Linked DNA regions of Danio rerio. The protein of the gene in region 1 purifies or fractionates together with the protein of each later gene. This does not show direct contact. Links are inferred from orthologs where the notes say so. Each region holds a gene or a part of one and is shown on either strand. Other genes may lie near its edges. The genes, in order: myo1ea and ostf1.

What was found.
Region 2: the proteins of myo1ea (region 1) and ostf1 purify together in Homo sapiens (co-immunoprecipitation; 3 studies listed by BioGRID and IntAct, counting the BioPlex papers as one, with this or other methods). This does not show direct contact. The link is inferred for Danio rerio from reciprocal best matches to the Homo sapiens genes MYO1E and OSTF1.

The regions. Positions count from the first base shown.
Region 1 is NC_133182.1:30,633,903-30,637,732, reverse strand, and holds part of myo1ea (unconventional myosin-Ie), read left to right. Parts: intron 1-370; coding exon 371-460; intron 461-2,356; coding exon 2,357-2,488; intron 2,489-3,512; coding exon 3,513-3,647; intron 3,648-3,826; coding exon 3,827-3,830. UniProt on the Homo sapiens protein: Actin-based motor molecule with ATPase activity. Unconventional myosins serve in intracellular movements. Their highly divergent tails bind to membranous compartments, which are then moved relative to actin filaments.
Region 2 is NC_133180.1:7,426,192-7,430,021, reverse strand, and holds part of ostf1 (osteoclast-stimulating factor 1), read left to right. Parts: intron 1-226; coding exon 227-280; intron 281-361; coding exon 362-469; intron 470-3,830.

The DNA.
Region 1 (3,830 bases):
CCTTTCTTTTATATTTGTGATATTACTCCACAAATCTTATGTCATAAAAAGTGATGGTTTTGGGATATCCCAGAACTGCCGCATGTGTCTGTCTGTCTCTTGGCTGCTTTGCTGACCGAGATGGCTCTAAGTAGACTGTGCTGTGTAAATTATGTGTGAAATATGCATGTGTACTGACATTGATATGTCTTCAGGGTAAATTAGGTCACCCATTTTGACATTGAGATGACCAGTGTTACATTAGTTCACCCTACAGGCAGGATTTTATCTACTGATCTCGTCCATTTCAGATCCACATTGTTTCTGTGCTTGTTATGCCAAATGTCAATGTAACATTACATCTCTCTCTTGTTTGTTTATTTCCACACAGCATGTCAAAGACATCATTCTTCAGTCTAATCCACTTCTCGAGGCCTTTGGGAATGCTAAGACAGTGAGAAACAACAACTCCAGTCGATTTGTAAGCATTAGTCATCCTCCCGTTATTTTATATTTATTATTATTTCATTTGAAGAAAGCAGACGGCAGATGTCTTGTGATGTGTTGGGCACAAGTTGCACTAAAACCAAAAAAGGGTTTATCATCAATGTTAAAGGGACTAAGCTGAAAAGAAAATGAATGAATGAATGAATGAATGAATGAATGAATCATCCATAGTAAAGGGATAGTACACCAAAGAATGATAATTCTGTCATCATTTACTCACCCTCGAATTGTTTCAAAATAGTCTTTTTTTTCTGCTGAATGCAAAAGAAGACATTTTGAAGAATGTTGAAAACCTGTAACCATTGACCTTCATACTAGGACAAAAAAATACTTTATCGTATGATGGTTATAGACGATTACAGGTTTCCAACTTTTGTCAAAATATCTTCATGCGTGTTCAACTGAACAAAAAAACTCAAACTGGTTTTTACAAATGAATGGTGAGTAAATGATGACAGAATTTTTATTTGTAGCGAGCTGCAAATGACAACAAGCCCTTGACACTAATTTGTTCGCATCCACAGTGTGACTTTTTTCAAGATTTTTCAAGTGCCCATATTGTGCAACACAATCTCACTGCAATTCGTAACTTTTTGATTTAGTGGCTCCTTTGTATAAATTGTTACAATCTCCTTTGTACAATATTAGTATGATTTTTTTCAGTATGAAGGCAGTTGGGTTTAGGGGCGGGGTTGGGTGCCATGCCTCCTTTTAATGGCAGTTTTGGAGGAATGCCAGATATATTGAAGGAAGTTGGAAACCTGTAATCATTGACGTCTATAGTATTTTTTTTTCCAGTATAGATGTCAGTGGTTACAGGTTTTCATCATTCTTCAAAATATCTTGTTTTGCATTCAACAGAAGAAAAAAAAACTGTTTTGAAAAAAGCCAAGGGTGAAATGATCACAGAATTTTCATTATTTGGTGTGAACTATCTTTTTTTATACTAAATGAAAGAAACGTTGCTTTGTCAATGCAATAAGAACATTTGATGAATAGGTTGGCATTGTAAGGTTTTGACCTAAATTTGGCAGCTTAAAAATACTCACAGGGCAAAACTGCCATTACAATATGCTGCATGCCACATTTACTTGCAGTTCTGCAACATTATGCACAGACATGCCAGTCTTGTTTTTGTTCTTCTGGGATTGGTGGTTAAGTTGCAAAAATAATGGATTAGCAGTGATGCAAATGGATTAGTTAGTGGAGTGTTTGGTAGCTTTTCGATAAACATTGAGAAAATTGGCTGTTAAATTACTCACCCTCAAACCATCCAAAATATATGTGACTTTTTTATCTTCAGTAGAGGATAAGCAATGTTTTTAACTGAAACCGTGGTCCTTTGTGATTTGCAAAATCATAATGAACACCTAATATGACTTTGAGAATGAAAAAGAAAACAGTGCACACGTAAAACAAGCATAATACTTGTGTTTGCTGACCTCCAAGTCACTCAAATCATTTCTTCATAGACCTCAACGTATCATCAGAGACCACACCTGTAATCTTTTTTGCCTGTATATGTTTTTTCGTATTGTCTTGTGTCAATAAGATAACCAAGAACTAGTTTCAGCTTCACTAATATGTTCTTGTGACAGTAGTCCCTCTTTGGGATGCCTGAGCATAAGTAAATTAACAGCACATTTTCATTCTTGAGTAAACTATTTTCCTTCTGCATCTGGGCATGTCTGGTAATTTCAGACAGCTGCTGTAAGCATAAGTGAACAGAAAGAGCATCATAAATGATAGTGAAGAGTGTTTGTATTTGTTAAAGCACCCATTTCCTCTTTTTTGGGGGGGTTCTGGGTATGCACACCCACCTGCAGAACAGCTCGTCTGTGCCTTTTTTAACATTCATCTTCGCTGACAGGGGAAATACTTTGAGATTCAGTTCAGTTCCGGCGGCGAGCCAGATGGTGGGAAAATTTCCAACTTCCTTTTGGAAAAATCACGAGTGGTGATGCGGAATCCTGGAGAGAGAAGCTTCCACATCTTTTATCAGGTGAGAATGAGGACAGGAGGTGGGCTCCTTCCCACTGAAGATGTCACTGTGACCGTCAGTCGTATAATACGAGGAAAAATTGAATGAATAACCGCAGTAAAGGCCAGGAAATAAAAGATGGAGCCATTTGGCTCTGAAAAGCAGGTCACGTTGTTCTGAGTTTACCACTTGAGTTTTTTGGAAAGCGAGAGTATGTCTGGCTTCTTAACGAGGCCTTCTCCTCACTGTTCCTTCTTCACAATTTAAACGACCGTTTTCCTTTGGGACTTTTTGTATTTTGGTGTTTCATCAGCTACGCACACTTTTGGCCCTTTGGACTTTTAGAAAATAAACACACTTAAAGCACTCTTCACACTCTTGCGAGTTTATTTAATTTGTCTGCTAACATATCCAGGAGAATTCTATTGATTTTTTTTTTATTCCTCGCATAAATTTCCACCACAGTGTGTTTGAGACATTTCCTCTATGTCTTAAATTTTGTGTCTAATGGATTTCTGAAAATAACAGTGGTGGAAATTACATTTTAAGTGGGTTTGGAATAAAATTCCAGACTCCTTTGTTATGCTAAGGCTAATTTTCCAAAATATACACCATTAAATATTATTCTCAGATCTAGGACTTTTTGTACTTGCTGGTAAGATTTTATTATGTCTTTAAAATAATTTTTGCAATGCTTTACAAAAAAGGTTTCATCTGTTAACGTGAAATAATTTACAATGAGCTATATTAATTTAGGCGGTTCATTTCGCTGTGGTGACCCCAGATTAATAAAGGGACTAAGCCGAAAAGAAAATGAATGAATGAGTAAATATATTAATTTACAGCTTGACTTAATCTAAAAACTTAAAATTGGTTGTTCATGTTAGTTCACTGTGCAATAACTACATTTACAAATGCAACTCTGGATTTATTTATTCATTTTAATTATATATTAATCATTGACCATTTTTTATGGTCTAAAACTCACCCAAATTCACCCAAGAACTTTTTGTGAATGTGTTATAACCTACATTCCTCTTCACAGCTAATAGAGGGAGCCAGTGGAGACCAGAAAAGCAGTCTGGGCATTACCAGCCTGGATTACTACACTTACCTCAACCAGTCCGGTTCCTACAAAGTGGACGATATCAACGACAAGCATGATTTCCAAGAAACCTTGGTGAGTATGATTAGGCAACTTGATATTTGCATGGAGCGCACTGGAAAACCTATATAGTAAATCCAATATAGTTCAATAGAGTTTGCCTGTTCAAATATGTGAACTGTTTTCCATATTGGCCGACACTGTTATTGTAACTTCCCTCTTTTTCTTCTGTGTGTCTCTCTGTCTGACCCCAGCATG
Region 2 (3,830 bases), on another chromosome or scaffold:
ATAAAATTTCTGAAGAGCGGGGGCAATTCAGATCATTTTCGTAGGGCGCTTTGTATCCAATACTAGAAATGGCATGTGCACTGCACAGGTTGAGCCCTATGTGTGCACATGCCTGCAGACATCCACTCTCCACACTGCAAAGATCTATTCGCCGTGATGTAAAAATGTATTGCTGTGATTTATTATATGCAGTTTTTTTTTTATTCTCATCTTGATCATTTCTCAGTGGCTGAACAGGCAGAGTCCATAGATAACCCCATGCATGAAGCAGCCAAACGAGGTACACACATACAGACCCGGCTAGCAGTATGTTTGTTTGTTAAAGTGGTGAAATAATCGTCTGTTTTGTGTGGGAATGCAGGAAATCTGAGCTGGCTCAGAGAGTGCTTGGATAATAAAGTTGGCATCAACGGACTGGACAAAGCAGGGAACACCTCTCTCTACTGGGCTTGCCATGGAGGACATAAAGGTAGTCGAAACACAAACTGGTTGAAATACATGCTTTGACTATATTCAGACACAGGGGGCTTGGTGGTTATTCATTCGTTAATTTTCCTTCGGCTAAGTCCCTATATTCATCAGGGGTCACCACAGCGGAATGAACCTCCAATTATCCAGCATATGTTTTACACCTCTAATTATCCAGCATATGTTTTACACAGCAGATGCCATTCCTGCTGCAACCCCGTACTGGGAAACACTCTTTTACACTATTACATTCACACTCCTACACTACGGCCAATTTAGCGTATTTAGTTCACCTATAGCGCATGTGTTTGGACTGTGGGGGAAACCGGAGCACCCGAAGGAAACCCACTCCAACACGGGAAGAACATACAAACTCCACACAGAAATGACAACTGACCCAGCCAGGACTCGAGCCAGCGACCTTCTTGCTGTGAGGTGACAGTGCTAGCCACTGAGCCACCGTGCCACCTCAATTGGCAACTAACCAAAGTCAATTTTCATGTGCATTTTGTCACCAAAGCCAGAGCTAATAAAGCTAATGTATTAAAGCTTCTATTCCAGCATGTGTGTACAGATGAAGCAGCGTTTACTACACCAGCGGTTCCCAACAGGTCCACATGGGGGCCTCAGTGAGCTTTGCGGGGGACCGCGTCATATTTAAAAAAAATACTTAGCAGTGGACAATAGTATTATTGAAATTAATATACAAACTGAATAAATATATATTTACACTAGTGGTGAGCCGTTAATGCGAGATTCTTATCATGTGATAAAAAATAATTGCCGTTAATCTATTTTCAAAGTTGGGTTGGGAGCTGGGTCTATTCTACGCAAGCTATGATGACTTTCACCTTGACATATTAGCGCGGATGGATGTATACCTGACCGGTGAGCCATCTGACAAAAGAGTGCCCTTCTGAATCAAATCAGCAGGATGCCTGAACATTTCATTCATCTGCCATGACAAACTGGGGTTTTAGACACTAATAAGGAGTAGGTACTGGTGATTGTAATGGAATTTAATAGCATACGCCAAATGGATAGAAAAAAAACTTCCGCATTTCGCAATGTGTGTGTGTGTGTGCGTGCGCGGTCCTTTACTGACAGCCGCGTGTGGATCTTGACGGAAAATATGGCGAAAGGTGCTAAAGACAGCGGTGTTTACTTCAATAATGCCACTTATGATATATAAGTACATAAGCATACTCTACGTCTTAATTCCATTTCTGTTTAGTTCAGTTATGACTTTAGTCGGATTAAGGAGATAAAAAAAAAACAACAACAATTCGCTGTTTCAATGAATGAATGAATGAATGAATGAACCGCCAACTATCCTGGCATATGTTTTATGCCCTACCAGCTGCAAAATTCATCTTTAAGTGAATAAACAGTTAGTAAATATAAGTACATCTTATTGAATGGGGCGACACATTGGTGCAGAAGGTAGTGCTGTTGCCTCAAAGCAAGAAGGTTCGAGCCTCGGCTGGGTCCGTTGGCATTTCTGTGTGGAGTTTGCATGTTCTCCCTGTGTTCGCGTGGGTTTCCTCCGGCTGCTCTGGTTTCCCCCACAGTCCAAAGACATGTGGTACAGGTGAATTGGGTAGGCCAAATTGTCCGTAGTGTATGAGTGTGTGTGTGTGAATGTTTCACAGAGATGGGTTATGGTTGGAAGGGCATCCACTGCGTAAAAACGTGCTGGATAAGTTGGCGGTTCATTCCGCTGTGGTGACCCTGTGTTAATAAAGGGACTAAGCCGAAAAGAAAATTAATGAATCTTATTAAACATAATTAATTTTCATCACCGTCTTGTCAGAGTAGAACAGTTTCACAAGCAGTTCGTGATGCGGAAACCGGAGATGAGCCTCTGGTCTAATGCACCACCTGGCTTGAGAAACCCATTCTCGCAGACTTTTTATTTGGGTAGCACACAAATTCTAAATGAGCCATTCAAATTCAATTCAAATGAGCCATTTTAATCTAAATTAATCTAGATTAAAAAAAATCTATGGCCACCTAAATAATAATGTTTGTTTGAAAACTATTTTTTTTTGTCATCATTACTGCAAACTTACATAAGCGAATATATCATTAAATGTGGAGGGGGGCCAATATTTTCTGGGGAAAAAGGGGGTCTCGGGCAAAAAAAGGTTGGGAACCACTGTACTACACGGGGCCATAGTTCACTGAAGAATCGGTTTTAAAATTAATTTAATCAATTGCTAATAACAGCTGTTTGCGCTGCTTTATGTTTTAGTCACACTGAATCAATGAAAGCAATTAATTCTATTTATTCAGCAACCGCTGTAGGCATTTCCTGGGTTTCTCCGTGGGTATTTGGAGGGGTTTGTGGGTTTCCTTGACAGCAAAAGATTTAAGGCTGTTCACACCATGCTTTCCTGACCAGATGTGCGTGATCATCACAGTTTTGCTCAATACATTTCTGGGCCCACTCACACTAAGCTATCCGAACTGTGCCTGGGTGCGTTTCCTAGTTTGTCTGTTAAATGTGAGTGCTGCGAATCGTGCACAGTCGTGGTTCAGTTGGCCGGGCAAGAGTGTGGTTCAGTTGGGCTTTGTTGCGTATGCTTGTAATGTGAGTGCAAAGTGCGCCTGAGCCGGAAAATAAAGACGCGACATCACTTTAAAGGGACTGTTTCATATAAATTTATTAATCATTCTTACCGTTTAATAAACACGAACTGTCATAGTTTATTAAAGATGCAAACCTGCTAATACGTGCAGCATGAGGACTTTTATGATAATTGTAGATCTGTTCAGCAAAATATTTGACTGTCACTGCATCACAAACGACTAAAAACAATACAAAGTGATATAACTAAAGCAATGTCCACTGCGCTGAGTGAGAGCACTTCTCTTCCTGTCTCTTCCTGACCAGTCATATCATCGATGATGTAATCGTGCTCCTGCTCAGAATTTAAAAAATGCAGTGAGTGCAGGCCGTCAAGGGGAGTGGGAACAAGTGCGCTTCGGCATGGTTCAAATCAACTGTGCCTAGTGTGAGTACGCCCTCATAAGCCAAGCCAACACAATCTCACGGCAATTCGTAACTTTTTGATTTGGTGGCTAATTCGTATGAATTTGTACGATCTAATTTGTACAGTTAAGTACGATTTGCTCATCCCCCAATGACGGTTGGGGTTAGGTGCCACGCCTCCTTTTTAAAATCGTACAATTTTGTACGACTGAACTCGTACGAATTAGCCACTAAACTGGCAAAACGTAACATACTTACTTTTTCTCGTGAGATCAGGCTGGCCAAGCCAAAACATCAAGTCATCCAAAACTGCTTGTCAAGTTTGCGATCAAATTTCATATTTGCTATCACCAATGAGTTGACAAAT